2 linked regions of the Pelodiscus sinensis genome follow. The protein of the gene in region 1 interacts with the protein of each later gene in a pairwise test. Links are inferred from orthologs where the notes say so. Each region holds a gene or a part of one and is shown on either strand. Other genes may lie near its edges. The genes, in order: CEBPG and CEBPE.

Evidence for each region.
Region 2: the proteins of CEBPG (region 1) and CEBPE interact in a two-hybrid assay, tested with the Homo sapiens proteins (2 studies listed by BioGRID and IntAct, with this or other methods). The link is inferred for Pelodiscus sinensis from reciprocal best matches to the Homo sapiens genes CEBPG and CEBPE.

Annotation. Positions count from the first base shown.
Region 1 is NC_134722.1:21,967,192-21,976,661, reverse strand, and holds the start of CEBPG (CCAAT/enhancer-binding protein gamma), read left to right. Parts: upstream 1-5,150; 5' UTR 5,151-5,302; intron 5,303-5,825; exon of another isoform or gene 5,826-6,274; intron 6,275-6,381; 5' UTR 6,382-6,584; intron 6,585-6,619; exon of another isoform or gene 6,620-8,138; intron 8,139-9,470. UniProt on the Homo sapiens protein: Transcription factor that binds to the promoter and the enhancer regions of target genes. Binds to the enhancer element PRE-I (positive regulatory element-I) of the IL-4 gene. Binds to the promoter and the enhancer of the immunoglobulin heavy chain.
Region 2 is NW_027465928.1:89,552-98,382, reverse strand, and holds CEBPE (CCAAT/enhancer-binding protein epsilon), read right to left. Parts: upstream 3,709-8,831; 5' UTR 2,472-3,708; coding exon 2,091-2,471; intron 1,572-2,090; coding exon 1,254-1,571; 3' UTR 1,239-1,253; downstream 1-1,238. Other genes in the region: SLC7A8 (large neutral amino acids transporter small subunit 2), read right to left, coding at 4,078-4,208, 5,156-5,333, 7,726-7,875, 8,015-8,111, 8,317-8,420, 8,564-8,687. UniProt on the Homo sapiens protein: Transcriptional activator. C/EBP are DNA-binding proteins that recognize two different motifs: the CCAAT homology common to many promoters and the enhanced core homology common to many enhancers.

The sequences.
Region 1 (9,470 bases):
CTTGCTTTGGGTTTAATGAGTCCCATTTAAATCTAGTGCATCTGTGATACATTGTATTTTTCTTTCAGTCTGTGCACCTACTTCTTTTTTTCCCATATATAGCTCCTCAGCCTCACCTCTCTGTCACATTGTAGTGATGGGAGCATGACTGATGGCGGTGAGAAGCCTATTATTTGTCCCTGGTCACTTGAAAAAAAAACACCTTTTCATTTGCGTTAGATAACTAAAAAGCCTTATATCAAGCATAGTGCACACTATAAATACTGAGGTAAGATTAGCTAGTGCTTGGACTGCTTGGTCCACTGAAGTAAACAGCAAAACTGCCAATGTTTTTACTAGGAGCAGATTTGGGCTGCTAGTGATCTAAGGCAAACCTGAAAAGAGTGTAAAGGCAGGCACCGCTTGCTATTCTGTTTAAAATCTTGCTAGAACATGATTTACCTTCTCTTTAGATAAGGCTGGCTCAGAGCAGTCTAGAAATGTAGGGATACAGAAGAACTTTTGCTCTTGACTTCACTGGAGGGAGTAATAGCTCAGTGGTTTGAGAATTGGCCTGTTAAACCCCAGATTATGAGCTCAGCCCTTGGGGAGCATTTAGGGATCTGGGGCAATTCTGTCAGGGATGGTACTCGTGAGGGTAGGGGACTGGCTGACCTCTCAAGGTCCCTTCCAGCTCTATAAGATAGGTATATCTCTGTAAGTAAACTTGATTCAAACTTTTCAAAGCTGAGTGCCTCAAATTAGACTACTGTATCAATATTCAGCCTTTTAAAATATAAATTACCTGATGTTCATAGGTGTTGAGTATCTATGGCTTCTTTTGATGTCAGTGGGAGTTATGGGTGGTCAGCACTCTTGAAAAAATTGAGCCATTTAGACACACAAAGTTAACTTTTTGTCTCATATATAATAAAGTTCAAAAATAATATCAAAATCACATGTGACCTAACTTCACAGAGGGACATGATTTAATTCTTGTCTAATTCAAGAAAGTGTATGTTATATGCATCTTGTGATCTGGCATTAGCATTCTATTTATGAAAATGCCAGCACGAAAGTAAAACTTTAAACAGAAATATGCAAGTCAAATTGCTAAATGCAGACTGATTAGATCTGAAAATGTAAGGAAAAGTAAAGGCACATTCTGTTTTTATTTATGAACACAAACATTTGCAGAAGATAGTACAAATAATAAACATAAAACCAAGATCATGCAAATATCACAGTTATTAAAATAAGGACAATATCGTTTTCAAATGCCATGTGATAGGTAGTTGTGAACCATCTTAAAAGAGTTTGTAAGGTTTAAAGGAGAATATGCCTCTTTAAGTAATGACAGCTGCACTTTAGAATATATATATAGATATAGATATATAGACACACAACAGGGTACATCTAGACTACATGCCTCTGACGACAGAGGCATGTAGATTAGACTACCCGGCATAGGAAAATGAAGCAGCGATTTAAATAATCGCCGCTTCATTTAAATTTACATGGCTGCTGCGCTGAGCCGATCAGCTGTTTGTCGGCTCAGCGCGGTAGTCTGGACATTCCGCGGTCGACATCAAAGGTATTTGTCGACCTCCCAGGTATGCCTCCTGCAGGCTGCCATCCGGGAGGTCCATCGGGGGCTGTCAGTATCCAGGAGGTCCTGCGGGAGAGCTTCCACCCTGAGGAGCGCTAAGAGTCTCCCTGGTGTGCCCCACTGGGAGCTTGTGCCTTATTCCTCTCTCATGTCCTTCCACTTACCCTTCCCTAACCCACCTTCCTGATGTCAAATAAAATACACGTATTTTCATGAACACTAACTTTCTTTATTTAACAAAACTGGGGGGAGGGGGAATGAAACTCTGGTGAGACTGGGGAAAGGAGGCGGGAGAGGGGAGGGGGAAACCTGGGAGGAGGGAGCTGGAAGGGGGAAGCAAGAGGAAGAAGGGGGAGGGGAAGCTCAGGGCTCGGGGTTGGGAGTCTTGCCGGACCAACTTGATTGTCATGCAAACCTGCTCCTGGGTTTGCATGTGGCCAGGCTGGCAGCTATCCTGCCATAGACGGCTATGTTCCTCTGCCTACTGCGGAGATCATTGATGTTGGGGGAATCACCCCCAAATCTGAATAAGGTCCATGATCTCCACCCTGGACCAGGAAGGTGCCTGCCTTCTCCGGGCCCTGGCAGGCTCCTGGGAGCTGGCAGACTGCTCCTGGGGAGTGGTGGAGGGCTGGCTGCCAGTGGCTTGGGGCCACTGGGTCAGGAACAGTGACTGCTGGCTCTGGGCTGGCAGGCTTGGAGCTGGCACAGGCACTGTGGCCAGAGTCAACCCCTTTAAGGGCTCTGGGGAGGAGGGCGGGAGAGGAGTGTTCTTGGTTGAGGCTGGAGTGGCCACCAGGGCACCCTAGGAAGGCTGGAGGCCCCCTATTTCGATATGAGCACTTATTTCGAAATATCTATTTTGAATTTGACGTTATTCCTCGTGGAATGAGGTTTACCAAATTCGAAATAAGCGCTCTGCTATTTCAAATTAATTTTGAAATAGCGGTTTGTAGATGCTAGTAAAATTATTTTGAAATAATGGCTGTTATTTCAAAATAACTTTGCTGTGTAAACATACCCTAAGGCACTTGAGGTCCCAGAAATACACAGGTTATTTAAGTGTTACTAGAGCCTGGCTAATGTTTCGTATTTACCTTGATTTTTTGTTTATGCAGTTGGTGTAATATAAGTTAACCTCTAGTGAATAGCTGCAGGCTGCTGTACCACCAAAAAAATCAAGCAGTTTCAACTGGGAAAGAACAAAATTAATGCTGAAGATGTTAAAACAAATATTTGATGATTGATGAGGAAATAATCCCAGACTAATCCTGGGAATTCCTCCTCAAGATATATTTTATTTTTACAGGGTTTATAAAAGGCACATAAGATCAGAAGCCCACTTTTTATTCGCCATGCAGATAAGTACATATTTTTACATGTGCATTTCAGGGTATTTGTGTTGTATCTCGGGAGTTTAAAATTGTTATCCATAAAGCCCCCACACACACAGTGCTTGAGACTTTGGATGTGCGTGTGAGAAAATTTGTTAATCCAATAGTCCTATGCGCTCAACCTGCGATTGCGTGTCTTACTGTGTGTGTCTGTGTGGGTGGGTGGCAGGGCTAAAAACTGTTACACAAATGTTCTCTGTCCACCCTACCACACTGCCTGGCTTTGGAGGAGAGGGTAAAAGTTCTTACCACAATAGACCCCATCCTACTTGTTGAGATTGGGGTGGTGGTTAAATAGAAATTTTACTGCTTTGGTAGGAACATGAGTAAGAACTCCATCTTTATTTGACACTAATGGCTGTGTTAGAAAGAAGGACATTTCCAGAGAGGCCCTGGATGACTTGTTTTCACTTTCAGACCAAGAAGTTGAATCTACATTTGAGAAGTAACCAAGTTCCTCGCATAGAATATAAGAGGGAGCTCACCTGTTGCCCAGTTCAGAAGTGCAATAATATTAGCTTTGTTTACTCTCACTGTTGTCATTAAAATTTCTCCTGGCTGAAGCTAGACTGGTTTGCTTTCAGGAAAGCAGTGTGGCAGATATGGGTGTAGGCAGACATGTCATGTCAGCAAAACATACAAGTCATATGCTTTGGGGGGGAATGTAATGTATTTTGTTTTACATTGACTGGGATGTTCTCCAGGCCTTTAATTAACACCTTATAATGTATTTATCTAATACATTATAATTAGATAATACTAATTATAATACTGGGAGATCATTGGAGATATTGCAGGAAGGGTTCAACAAAGAAACAAGGATGCAATATCAGTGAGAATGTCCAGTACTTATACTTTTGGTTGCTAAAAATTACTACAAATTCCTGAATTTCAAAGATTGCCAATAAGAGTTCTTGTGCCTAGATGTCACCAAAATACAGAAAGACAAAGGTGAATAAGATCAGAACCTAAAATGAACTGTAGAGACAGCCACAGAAGGTTCTTCAAGAAATGAGGGTTGTTGGCTTTCCCCTTTTTTCGTTTTGTTTCTGTTTCTTTTGTTTTTTTATGGTACATGGCTTTTTTGGTCCAGTTTGTTATAGAGACATAACTTGTTTGTAAAGCTAGAGCATTTTTCCTCTGAGTATCTTCTAGGCACCTACTCTCATGCCAGCTGGAACCAGAGGTACAAGGGGTAGGGGGGTGTGCTCCCAGCTTGAAGTGATTTCCATTATGTGCAGGGTATACAGTTTGGTTGAATGGCTCTCAGGACCCCCACTGTAAAATTTGTTTCAGCACCCCTGCCCACTCTTGCCCCCATCTCAGTCAGTGTATGTCTACACTACAGAGTTTTGTCGGGAAAACGGCTGTTTTTCCGACAAAACTTGAGTAACATCCACACTGCAATTGCGTTCTTTCGAAAGTAAATCAAAAGAAGAAAAGTTTTTTTCTAACCTTGGTAATCCTCATTCTATGAGGAAGAAGCCTTTTTCCGAAAGAGCTCTTTTGGAAAAAAGCGTGTGTGGATGGGGTAGAGGGAGGTCTTTTGGAGGAAGAGGAAAATGCACAGGTGCCCTGGTGGCCACTCCTCCCATAGTAATCACAGCTTAACTGTGAGATAGTGTCTATTAAGTGGGGATGCTATCTTTTGAAAAAGCAGGTAGCTTTTTCCATGTGCTTTTGCTGTGTAGATGCTCTATTTCAGAAGTTTTTTCAGAAGATCTCTGCCTGCAGTCTAGACATAGCCTCAGTGTCTGTTGGGGGAAGAGGGAAGAGGTGGGTGGGGTTCTGGTGGTAACAGGTTTCCCCCAAATCCCAGGCAGTGTGTGTGTGTGTGTGTGTGTGTGTGTGTGAGTGTGTGTGTGGGCGGGGCTATGGCGGTAACACGTTTTCCCCAATCCCAGCCAGTAGGAGGAGGCTATTGGAATAATTGGTTTACCAGCCCCCCCCCCCTCCCCGGCCGTGGGGGACGCTACTGGGGTAACAGCGCTGCCCATGCTCTGGTCGGGATGGGGGCGCGGGGGGAAGGAGGGAGGGTGGGAGCAGCGCCCAGCCCCTGGGGGATTTACCAGCCCACAAAAACAGCGCTTCTCGCTTTAAGAGAGCAGCGGGGGTGTCCGATTGGCTGAGGGGACTGCCAATCGGCGCGGCCATTGCATCATCCCTGCGGCAGGCCGGCCGCTGATTGGCCAGGACGCTGGGCGAAGGAGAAGGGTTTCGCAATCGCCGCTCGCCTCACTCGCCAGTTTTAAAGAAAGAGACTCGGGCCCAGCCCGCGCCCCCCACCCCCGATCGATACCGCTCTCCATCCCTGGGCCAGGTGAGGCGCGAGGCCGCCCCGCCGCGCGCAGACCGACCCCCCCCCCCGCCCGTTCCGGCGCGGTATCCCCGGGGGCGGGGGGCTCACACCGGGCGCAGGCCGTAGCGGGGCGGCGCGGGAGCAGGCGGCAGTGGGGCTGCTGCAGGAGGACCATTGGGCAGTGGTGGGAGGCTACGGGGGTCTGGGGAGCGCTGGGTGCTGGCGGGGTCTGCAAGGGGAGGCGTGTGTGGGGTGGACATGGGGGGGGCTGGTCAGCGGGGAAGGGGTCAGTACGGGGTGGGGGTCTGGGCTGTGGGGAGTCTTGGGGGTGTAGCTACCGGGGGCGGGGTCTCTAGGAGTGGGTGGGGTGGGGAGGGGGGGTCTAGTCAGTGGGGGCGGGGTTTGTAGGGGCATGGCGTGGGGCTGGGAGGTGGGGGTGTGAGGGAGGGCTCTGCTCAGTGGGGGTGTCTGGGGTAGCGCGGGGGGGTGGTGGGAGAGGGGGCTGCTCGCTAGAGAGACGTTTGGGGAAGGGAGAGAGTGTATGGGGGGGGGGGGGGGGGAGGCCGGGACTTTCCTCACGGTTACGCTCGCGTGGAGAGCGTATGATGCAATCTCCAGGCAACTCTCCTCCCCGATGGGATGAAGTCATGCTTGGCACGGAGAGGGGAGCCCGGGGAGAGGGAGACAGGCCTCTGCTCCCCTAGTAGCCAGCCTGCTTCCTGGTGGGGGAGTGACAGGCCCTCCTCCCTGCCTAGTTCCCAGTGAGGCAGCAGTAAGGGCAGAGGGAGAGAGCTACAGCCACATACCCTCATGCTAAGAGAAGTGTAAATAGTGACCTAGAAATCAACAAGAGGATGATTGAGGCCTAGAGCACAAAATCGAATAACCGCTGCAGCAAGTTAATTTGTTTGCAAAATGTGTAGTTGCCGTACACAAGCTTTTATTGGGCCTTTTTGGAAATGGAAGATCCCGTCATTCAAAGACACCAGCAAGGTGGGCTAGGAGCACAGCATATTAATAAAAATATCTATTGTTCATATTTATGCACATCATGATGTATTAGCTACTGTATTAAGTGATTCCTTTATCTTTCTTTTAAGAGAGATCAAAATAGTTTCTGAAGAAGAATATAATCCTTGGTGTTTAGAATGAAGCCCTCTTCCTTTCCTGTTGGGTGCTGTGTTATACTGACTTCCTGGCGGAAACCAACATTGTAAACAGCACTGTTTAAAGTCAAACGGGAAGTAAACATAACTTTAAAAACAAACAGGAATTTTAAAAAAGTATCGTGTGTGAGGAAAAGGTACTTTTAAAAAATCCTTTATATTTGTAAGGTTTTCATAGTTTACAATGACAGAGCCTTGGAAGTTAAAGGTGAAGACCCATGGTTTTGTCAAAGGATTGGGAAACTTATGAAAAGGTTTTAGCGGGAACGTATGTATGGCTGTTTAGAAACGTATGTACTTCTGTATTTCAGCAAAGTTACCACCTAAGAACCCTGATCTGCAGACTCTTCAACATCACAAGTAACATGTAGAAAAGGGATGAAAATATATAGTTAGAATAGAGTAGTTCTTTTGAGTGACACTTTTACAGGGATTCTCTCATTGTAGCCACAAATTTAGATCATTGGAGGCTTTTCAAATGTTTTTGTAAATTTAAAAATATTACAAGTGGAAACGAAAGAGTTGATTAAAAAAAAGTCCCTTGTATTGTTTACAATCTGAACGTTGGTAACTTGAAAATGAAACTTACTATAAATGAAAAAATAAACTTACTGTTATCTGAGTCAGAGGAAAAGTTATAAATACTGAAAAGTAAATTAACTTTTAAGTTTACTAGGGGGCACAGATCCCTGCTCGCCAACCTCCCTCTCTGGGGGTAGGCAGCCCTGGCTCTCCCCCCCCAGGTGGGGGGAGGGGAAAGCAGGTTGGGCCAGGCTGAGGCTGCGGCTGACCCATCTCTCTCCCTCAGGCTATGAGGGATAATAATACTGACATCCTTTTTAAAGTCTTTTGACAGCCATGGATGAAAAGTACTGTGCAAGGGCTAAATATTGTAATTATAATTACTAGTCAGTAAAAGACAGGAATTCTCAAATGAACTCTTTATATTGGTATGGAGTTGCACATCACCTTCCTTTCCCATGTGAAAATTGACATATATGACTTTCTGGTGACTGAACTAAGCCAGTTAAGAAAAAACAGGGACACCACAATAAGGGAAACAGTCCTTCGTATAGACAGACTATAGCCCTGAAGATACACATTTGTCTTTACTCTTACAGCAGACATTAATAAGCTCAGTGTCTCATTTACAACCATCTGTGTTGATCTATTATCTGTGTGCAGGAGTCAGATAATCAATCTGTTGTGCTATGCCTAAACAATCAGGTCTTGTGTTAGTAACTGGTCATTTTATTCAAAAATGGTATTTTCCTTTAATCCAACATGAATAGAGATCAGTCCTGTTTTTGAACTGTCAGTACTTGTGAGTCTCCCCGAGGTGGTGGTGTGTGTTTTTTATACACAACTTGTGTTTGCAGGCTCAGTTGCCTCAGCTTGTTAGGTTCTCTTAATATCACTGTTACATACTTCACATGGCATGTATGCTGTTTGTACATACCTGGCACTTGGATGAAATCTGGTTTTCCTGGATTTCGCACACATGTACTATATATCCTGCCTCTTTTATGGGCACAACTGATTGTGATACTTATCTCTTACTTTCAGTTTTCATGTCCTGGGTTGGTTTATGAAGAATCTAGCGTATACAGGAGAGAAATTATGTATCTTCTTGTGAACAGAGTTTTGATTCTCTGGTTCTCAAACTGTGTCGGGACTAAGGATGTTAAGTGGTGGGTAATTCGCTAATTGTATAGTTGATAAAATTTAGTGGATAAGGGAAGAAGTGCTTAGTTCTGGCTTGTGCCAAGTCTGGGGGCTACCCCTCTGTGGTTCTGCAGTTTAAATGTAGGAAGAGCCAGGCTGCCCACCCACCCAGCTCTTACTACCTTTAAACTGCAGAGCCGCAGCAGTGGATAGTTCCCGGACCCAGCGTGAGCTGGGACTGAGCAAGTCTGGCTGAGTCCTGGTTCATGCCATGTCCAAGAGCTGCCCCTGCTGTAGCTCTGCATCTTAAATGTAGTAGGAGTTGGGTGGGCAGACAGCCTGGTTTCCACTATGTTTAAACTACAGAGCTGCAGTTGAGGTACTTCCTGGACACAGCGTGAGCTGGGACTGAGCTGGGCTCCCTGCCCAGCCGGAGCATCCCCTGTCCATAGTGGCCTATTCTGGCTGTGGGCAGAGGCTGTTCCAGCAGCAGCCCCTGTCAACAGGGTCCTAGCAGGAGGCAGCAGCATGGGAGGTGGCACCATGGAGGTGGTGCTGGGAGGGAGGAGGGGAATCGGCTTTTAAGTCGGCTCCTGCTTCCCTTCCCCCTGCTGCCTCCAATACAGAGGCAGTGGGGGCAGAGGGAATGTGAGTAGTCAACTACTCACTCACATCCCTAGTTGGGACTCCAGGCTGGGTCACAACCTGATTTTAATGGCGTTATCAGAGCTCACTTAAACTGCTGGGCCCAAGGCCAAAGCACAAGTCCCATCATCCTGGGGCTGAAGCAAAAGCCCCTGACTTTAGTTCTGGGTGGTAGGGCTCAGGTTACAGGCACCCTGATTTGAGCTAAAGCCCTTGCCCTTTGGCCCTCTTCCTGGGATGACAGGGCTTGGATGTGCTCATGCTTCTGGGTTTCTCCTGGGGTCATGTAGTAATTTTTGTTATCAGAAGGGAGTTGCAGTGCAATGAACTTCTGTATTAAATTATTTGAAAACAGAGGGCTGCTGAGTACATTTAAAAAATATTTGAAAATGAAGTTTAGGTATAACCATCTCTGTCCCAAGATATTAGAGACACAAGGTGAGTGAGGTCTTTCTAGTCCTTATAAATGATGGGTAAGATTGTGTATTCAGTGACTTATAGATTTTTCAGACATCTGTGTGATCTTCTCTCACTCTAAAGTAGAAGTTGGAGAACAGGAAATGGAGAATTTTCTGAATGGATCCTTGTAATAAAAAAGACAGTATTAATTAGGAAAGCAGAGTTTCTCATGACATCATAGTTCTCAAACTCTGGGCTCACTGTACAGAGAATCACCATAACTTTATAACACGGGTGGAGAACTTCAGGCCAGG
Region 2 (8,831 bases), on another chromosome or scaffold:
CCATGGCCTCGCACCCAGAGAATCTCTCCCCGGCCACGTTGCTCTGGAGTGGTTTACGTAGGGCCTACAGTAAGGTGAGCTGTGTACACTGCACCTCCAATGTTACCGCGGGAGCATGGCAGCTCCGGGAATGCCCCTCCCCTCGTGCGGCAGGACGAGCCTTGATTTCATCAAGAGGACTTCTGTTTATGTGGGACCTACAGTAAGTCGGGAGCTGTGGGGAAGGCACATGGACCTCCTGAAAATCCCTTCCCGCCACTGTCATGGGAGGAACTGTGCTGTCATCCGCTGATTGCTATTGTTGTAGGACCTACAGTAAGTGAGTCTGTTTGCCTGTGATCTACGTGCTATTGCATCAGCCAGCCAGGAGCCTCCATGCGACTTGCCAGTGCGGCCTGTGTTGACATAGACCCTACAACAACACTTTCTCTGCCCCACCGCTGGGGGCGATGCCAGCGGCTGTTTCTTCGTGGGGACTTGTTTCCGTAGGACCTACAGGCCTGGAGCAGCCTGCAGGGACACTGGGGAGTGGGCAGGGAGGCGTTGTTTATAAACAGTGAGTGGGTGGAGCGCCCCCGTGTGGTCTGTTCCCAGCGCTGCCGGGGGGCTGCCGAGGTGGAGAGGAAGCTGGTGAAGGAGGCAGGGGTTGGAGAGGTGCGGGGTGAAGACGGGCTGGGGGAGGGGTGCAGAGGGGCGAGGGAAGGGGGCTGCAGAGGTGTGGGGGGAGGATCTCCCCAGCTCCGCCCTGCGGGTGACGACAGCCAGGCCGGGAGTTTCGCAAACACCCCATGGAAACCCCCAGTGCAGGGGCCGCGGGGTAACGGCCGCTTTCACAATTCCGAGTAATCTCCCTGGCAGAGAGAAGGGGGGCAGGACCTTACCCCACACGGGGGGAGGGAGTAGGGGGAACGCTCCACCCCGGGGGGGACACGGCCCCTCTGCCCTGCCCCCAAGGAAGGTCCGGAGGTTGAGACACCAACCACGGGCTGAACCAACCTGCATTGCACAACCCCCCTTGGCCGGGGGAGGGGAGAGCGGGCCAGGGCCTGGGACCGGGCCAGCTGTGGGGGCCTGGGCGAGGCAGCCTGTGAGCCGGGGCACATCCCTCCCCCAGGATCCCAGTGCTAGTGTAGCCAGACGGGGGCAGCTCCCCCCAGTCCTGCTTCTAGCCCCGCTGCCTCCCTGCCTCAGTTTCCCGTTTCCTCAGCCCTCCTCCCCCCACAGATCACCAGGGCCCGAGCGTCTCAGCATGTTTATTGGCCGCCCCCTCCGCAGCCTCCCAGCCCCTTGCCCAGAGCTGCGGCCTCGGGCACCTGGCGGAACAGGGCCCGGAGCGTGTCCAGCTCCTGGCTGAGCTGCGCCACCCGGCTCTGCAGCCGCTCGTTCTCCGCCGCCAGCTCCAGCACCCGCTGCTGCGTCTCCAGCACCCGCCGCTTGGCCTTGTCCCGGCTCTTGCGCACGGCGATGTTGTTCCGCTCCCGCCGCAGGCGGTACTCCAGGCTGTCCTTGTTCACCGCCTTCTTGCCCTTGGGGGGGCCCGGCGAGGCCAGCAGGGGGCTGCAGGAGGGGCCCTGGCGAGAGAAACCGGGCCCAGTGGGCTGCAGGTGGTGCTGGGGGGCACTGGTCAGGAGTGAAGGTCAGTGCAGGATGGGAAGGGCACTGGGGGGAGCACTGAGGGTCACTTCAGGACGCCATTATGGGCTGTGGGTGCAGAGGTGCCGTGGGGGCTGTGGGTGGGGCACAGGGGGCACCGTGGGGAGCTGCAGGTCAGGAGTGAGGGAGATGGGGGGCTGTGGGGGTCACTTCAGGGCAGGAGGGGGGCTGCAGGGCAGGAGTGAGGGGGATGGGGGGCTGTGGGGGTCACTTCAGGGCGGGAGGGGACAGTAGGGTAGGAGTGAGGGGGATGGGGGGGCTGTGGGGGTGACTTCGGGACAGGAGGGGGGGCTGCAGGGCAGGAGTGAGGGGGATGGGGGGCTGTGGGGGTCACTTCAGGGAGGGGGGGGCTGCAGGGCAGGAGTGAGGGGGATGGGGGGCTGTGGGGGTCACTTCAGGGAGGGGGGGGCTGCAGGGCAGGAGTGAGAGCGCCTTACCTTGAGCGTGCGCAGGGCCGGCGCGGTGCCCCCCGGGGGCAGGCTGACGGCCGTCTGCCCACAGTGCGCCACCTGGAAGGGCAGGGGGTTGTAGCCGCCACGGCGTCCGGGCTCAGCCCCCCGTGGCTCCTCCTTCACCAGGGCGCCGTAGCCCTTGTGGGGCCCCCCATAGCCCCAGGGCTCCCCCTGCAGGTAGCCTGGGAAGGGGGTGCTCTTCTGCGCCCGCTGAGGGGGGCCCTGCAGAAGCTCCGACAGCAGCTGCTCGTCGCCGATGTAGGCAGCCAGGTCGATGGAGCCCTCGTGTTCCCCGAGCGCCCCCAGCTCGGCCACCATGGGACGTGGGGGGGCCCGCTCGCAATCATAGAACCCCCCCTGCGACATGGACGCTTTCTTTCCTTCCGCTCGCCGCCGGCTCGCGCCTCCGCCGCTCTCCCCGCCGCTCGCCACCGGCTCGCGCCTCCGCCGCTCTCCCGCCGCTCGCCACCGGCTCGCGCCTCCGCCGCTCTCCCGCCGCTCTCCTGCCGCTCGCCGCCGGCTCGCGCCTCCGCCGCTCTCCCGCCGCTCGCCACCGGCTCGCGCCTCCACCGCTCTCCCGCCGCTCTCCCGCCGCTCGCCACCGGCTCGCGCCTCCGCCGCTCTCCTGCCACTTGCCGCTTGCCCTTTGCCTTCAGTCACTTTGTCATTCTCTTATTCTTTCTCTTGTTCCTTCCTGGACCTGCTGGTTGTTCTCACTTCTCTTCCTCTTTTTCACGCTGATTCGTTCCTTCGTTTCTTTCTTTCCATCGGCCACTTTCTCCTTCGTTCTCTCTGCCCGCTCCTCGCTTGCTTGGGTTTTCTTTCTCCCTGCGTCGGATTTCCTTTCCCTCCGTTCTCTCTCGTTCCTTCTCTCTCTCCTTGTCGGCTCTTTCCTCGCTCCGTCTGTCCCTACTTCATCGGCCTCTCGCCGTCCCTTCTCGCACTCAGCCCCTGTCTGCCTTGCTCCCTGGCTTCTCTTCCTCCCTCTGCCTCCTTCTCTCTCTCTGTCTCTCACGTTCCCCCCGTCCCCCCGCCCCCCTTTTCCTTCCTCTTTCCGATGGACTCCCAGCTCCCCCTGCTGATGACACCAGGGGACCCCACCCTGCCCCCCCAAGGGTCTGAGGGGATGGCATTGGGTGTCTGTCCCCAACATCCAGGGGAGCCCTGTGGGGCCTACCCCAGAAATGGGGTAACCTTTCCCTTTGCAGCCCCCTTTTCAAAGCACACCCCAATTTCACTTCTCACAGCCCTGCCCCATAAGCCGTTCCCGCAGACTCCACCCACAGCTCGCCCAGCCCAACTGGTTCCCCTCGTTCCCCACCAGCAGCCCCTGCCTGCCCAATCCTGCCCCCCTAGCTCCGGGAGCACCCCACACACCTGACCCACAGCCCCTGCCATTCCAGCTGCCCCCAGCTCACTGCTGACTCCCAGTCGGCAGCCCCCTCCCAGCCCAGCCCCCCACATCCTGCAACCCAGAGGGCAAGACCCACCTCTGGCCACAAGGTGGCACCATTCCATGAAGGAGCGGTAGGGAGGAGCTAGGGGCTGCTGGCAGGGGCGTGCGGAATGGGGCCGGGATGGCAGGGGGTCCCCGCCTGGCCTTACAGCAGGGAGAGCGGGAAGGTGCTAGCTGGGCGGGGTCCCAGCAGGAGTCACTGGGGGGATCTGGCCGGGTCCCCGCAAGGGGGGCTGTGGGCAGCCCCCGCTCTCACCCTCCCCAGCCCCCAGGCAGGCTCCACATGGCGAGGTCACTTTAATTTATTACATCAAAAACCAGAGACAAACAATGGAAAAGGCCACAAAGTCGGGGCCCGGCTGTCGGGGCCAGAGAACGGTTAAGGCATCTGCCCCTGCCAGGGCGCGCCTCTGCCAGCGGGGGGCGCTGGGGGAGGGGGGCAGAGAGGGGTCTGGGGGAGCAGAGCCAGAGGCAAGGTGGGCACCATGGGGCACAGTCCATGGCAGGGTGAGGGGCTCAGTCGTGGGGCCGATCAGGGTCCCCGGCGTGGCACATGGGCTCCAGCTGCTCGGTGCACTCGGGGTCGGGGGACTCCATCTCGGGGTACACCACCCCACACATCTTCTGGGTCACTCGCGTCACTGCCGCTGGGGGAGACGGGGGTTAGAGAACGGGGGCGTGGCCCTTCCGCCGCCCTCCAGACAGACGCTCCCTTCCCCACCCCTAGCCAGCTGGGGGAGACGGGGGGTTAGAGAACGGGGGGCGTGGCCCTTCCGCCACCCTCCAGACAGACGCTCCCTTCCCCACCCCTAGCCAGCTGGGGGAGACGGGGGGTTAGAGAACGGGGGGCGTGGCCCTTCCGCCGCCCTCCAGACAGACGCTCCCTTCCCCACCCCTAGCCAGCTGGGGGAGACGGGGGGTTAGAGAACGGGGGGCGTGGCCCTTCCGCCGCCCTCCAGACAGACGCTCCCTTCCCCACCCCTAGCCAGCTGGGGGAGACGGGGGGTTAGAGAACGGGGGGTGTGGCCCTTCCGCCGCCCTCCAGACAGACGCTCCCTTCCCCACCCCTAGCCAGCTGGGGGAGACGGGGGGTTAGAGAACGGGGGGTGTGGCCCTTCTGCCGCCCTCCAGACAGACGCTCCCTTCCCCACCCCTAGCCAGCTGGGGGAGACGGGGGTTAGAGAACGGGGGGCGTGGCCCTTCCGCCGCCCTCCAGACAGACGCTCCCTTCCCCACCCCTAGCCAGCTGGGGGAGACGGGGGGTTAGAGAACGGGGGCATGGCCCTTCCGCCGCCCTCCAGACAGACGCTCCCTTCCCCACCCCTAGCCAGCTGGGGGAGACGGGGGGGTTAGAGAACGGGGGGCGTGGCCCTTCCGCCGCCCTCCAGACAGACGCTCCCTTCCCCACCCCTAGCCAGCTGGGGGAGACGGGGGGTTAGAGAACGGGGGGCGTGGCCCTTCCGCCGCCCTCCAGACAGACGCTCCCTTCCCCACCCCTAGCCAGCTGTCCCTCTTCCCCCTCCCGTCCCTACCCTGTGCCTGGCCGGCTGTCCCCCCAAGCCCTGTGCCCCTGCCCCCCGGCCAGCCCACTTACCCAGGCAGGTGTAGACGGCAGGTGGCTTGCGGCGCCAGGCCACACCCAGCCCGTAGACGGGCACCCCGGTGAGCATGATGGCCAGCCCCACGCCGCACACCACCGGCTCCGACCACAGGCTGAAGATGAGCAGGAAGGCCCAGAAGAGCAGGTAGATCACGGGGAAGAACAGGCTGACCTGTGGGGACAGGGGGCTTAGCGGGGGCAGGAGGCGCAGTGGGAGGGGCACCCAGGGCGGGTCTCACCTTGATCAGGCGGGAGGGCAGGGGGGCTCACTTGGATGGCGTGGGGGGAGGGCCATGGGACGTGGCGGGCTGCGGGGGGGTGGCTCACCTGGATGGGCTGGGCCGTGGCAGAGCCAGTGCGGGCGGGAGGGCCGTGGGGGGGCTCACCTGGATGGGGCAGGCCACAGGGGGAGGGGGGCTTACCCTGATGGGATGGGTCAGGCGGGGGGAGGGGGGCTCATCTTGAAAGGGCAGACCAGGCGGGGGAGTGGGTTCACCGGTATGGTGTGGGCTGCCGGAGGGGGGGCAGGGGTCACCTGGATGGGGCAGGCCAGTGCGGGGCAGAGGGCCGGGAAGGGCTCACCCTGATGGGACGGGATGAGGGAGCGGGCTCACCTTGATGGGGCGGGCCAGGTGGAGGGGTGGGAGCTCACTGTGACGGGACGGGACGAGGGGGGGTGGGGCTCACCTTGATGGGGCGGGCCAGGCGGGGGGGTGGGAGCTCACTGTGACGGGACGGGACGAGGGGGGCTCACTGTGACGGGAGGTGGGGGGCGGGGCTCACCTTGATGGGGCGGGCCAGGCGGGGGGGGCGTGACCTCACTGTGACGGGACGGGACGAGGGGGGGCTCACTGTGACGGGAGGTGGGGGCAGGGCTCACCTTGATGGGGCGGGCCAGGCGGGGGGGGCGTGACCTCACTGTGATGCGATGGGACAAGGGGCGGGGCTCACCTTGATGGGGCGGGCCAGGCGGGGGGGGGGCGTGACCTCACTGTGACGGGACGGGACGAGGGGGGGCTCACTGTGACGGGAGGTGGGGGCGGGGCTCACCTTGATGGGGCGGGCCAGGCGGGGGGGGCGTGACCTCACTGGGACGGGACGGGGGGGGCTCACTGTGACGGGAGGTGGGGGCGGGGCTCACCTTGATGGGGCGGGCCAGGCGGGGGGGCGTGACCTCACTGTGATGCGATGGGACAAGGGGCGGGGCTCACCTTGATGGTGCGGGCCAGACGGGGGGGGCGTGAACTCAGTGGGACGGGACGAGGGGGGGCTCACTGTGACGGGAGGCGGGGGCGGGGCTCACCTTGATGGGGCGGGCCAGACGGGGGGGGCGTGAACTCACTGGGACGGGACGGGACGAGGGGGGGCTCACTGTGACGGGAGGCGGGGGCGGGGCTCACCTTGATGGGGCGGGCCAGACGGGGGGGGCGTGAACTCACTGGGACGGGACGGGACGAGGGGGGGCTCACTGTGACGGGAGGCGGGGGCGGGGCTCACCTTGATGGGGCGGGCCAGACGGGGGGGGCGTGAACTCAGTGGGACGGGACGAGGGGGGGCTCACCGTGACGGGAGGCGGGGGCGGGGCTCACCTTGATGGGGCGGGCCAGACGGGGGGGGGCGTGAACTCAGTGGGACGGGACGAGGGGGGGCTCACCGTGACGGGAGGCGGGGGCGGGGCTCACCTTGATGGGGCGGGCCAGACGGGGGGGGGCGTGAACTCAGTGGGACGGGACGAGGGGGGGCTCACCGTGACGGGAGGCGGGGGCGGGGCTCACCTTGATGGGGCGGGCCAGACGGGGGGGCGTGAACTCACTGGGACGGGACGGGACGAGGGGGGGCTCACTGTGACGGGAGGCGGGGGCAGGGCTCACCTTGATGGGGCGGGCCAGACGGGGGGGCGTGAACTCACTGGGACGGGACGAGGGGGGCTCACCGTGACGGGAGGCGGGGGCGGGGCTCACCTTGATGGGGCGGGCCAGGCGGGGGGGCGTGACCTCACTGTGATGCGATGGGACAAGGGGCGGGGCTCACCTTGATGGTGTGGGCCAGACGGGGGGGGGCGTGAACTCAGTGGGACGGGACGAGGGGGGGCTCACCGTGACGGGAGGCGGGGGCGGGGCTCACCTTGATGGTGTGGGCCAGACGGGGGGGGGCGTGAACTCAGTGGGACGGGACGGGACGAGGGGGGGCTCACTGTGACGGGAGGCGGGGGCGGGGCTCACCTTGATGGGGCGGGCCAGATGGGGGGGGCGTGAACTCACTGGGACGGGACGAGGGGGGGCTCACCGTGACGGGAGGCGGGGGCGGGGCTCACCTTGATGGGGCGGGCCAGACGGGGAGGCCGTGAACTCACTGGGACGGGACGGGACGAGGGGGGGCTCACTGTGACGGGAGGCGGGGGCGGGGCTCACCTTGATGGGACGGGACGGGACGGGGGGGGCTCACCGGGACGGGAGGCGGGGGCGGGGCTCACCTTGATGGGGCGGGCCAGACGGGGGGGGCGTGAACTCACTGGGACGGGACGAGGGGGGCTCACCGTGACGGGAGGCGGGGGCGGGGCTCACCTTGATGGGGCGCACCATGTCCGGCTGCCGCCAGCGCAGCACGATCTGCCCGGCCACGGTGACCCCGTAGAACAGGTAGTTGATGAAGCCCACGTAGTTGATGAGGGTGTAGATGTCGCTGGTCACCAGCATGAGCAGGGTGGACAGGCACTGTGGAGAGGGGAGGCCGTGGGGGCGGGGCCATTCCGAAATCCCACCCCTTGTCAGTGCATAAGCCCCGCCCCTGCCCCATTCTCCAAGCTTCACCCCCTGCCTGAAATCCCGCCCCCAGCAGGCACCAGTGACTCACGGTGAAGACCAGAGCGGGGATGGGGGTGCAGCGCTGCATATGGATCATGGCCAGCACGCTGGGGAGGTGGCCCTCACGGGCTCCTGCGAAGAACAGCCTGCGGGGGAGGGGAGAAGTAGGTGTGGGGCTGGAAGGGGGAGGGTCTGGGCTTGTCAGGCATGGCTGTGGGTGGGGGGAGAGCAGAGCAGGCCTGGGGTCAGTGGGCGTGGCCATCTGTGCCATCAGTAGGGTTCAGGGTGAACACTGGGCTGCAGGGAATGCGGCTCTGGGCCTGGCGGGCAGGCTGGGATGGGGTCACTTACCGGGAGGAGGTGAAGAGGGAGCCGTTGACTCCCCCGAAGGTGGACAGGGCCACGGAGATGGGCATGATCCAGGCCATGACACCCAGCAGCTTCTCCCCGAACGTCTGGGGGGAAGAGGGAGGAGTCGGAAGTGAGTGGGAAGGCTCCGTGCAGGGGGCGGGGCCAGGGCAGCGGCTCCTGGGACGAGCGGTGGAGACGGAGGCCTTGCTGGCGGGGCTGGGGGCTGTTTGGGGGGGGCGGGGCTCACCACAGCCACGGCGTTGGAGGCCAGCAGCTCCTGGGGCGACATGGCGGTGACGTAGGCCACGTTGGCGAAGACAAAGATGAAGGTGACCAGCGGGATGGAGATGAAGATGGCCAGCGGCAGGTTCCTGGGGAGGGGCAGAGTGAGTCCGTGCAGCCGCCCACATGCCAGGGCCCCCCCAGGCAGACTAGGATCACCCAGTGGGAGGCACTGGGACCCCCAGGAGAGGAGTGTCTGATGTGCCCAGACCCCAGGGGTCCCAGGTGGGGAG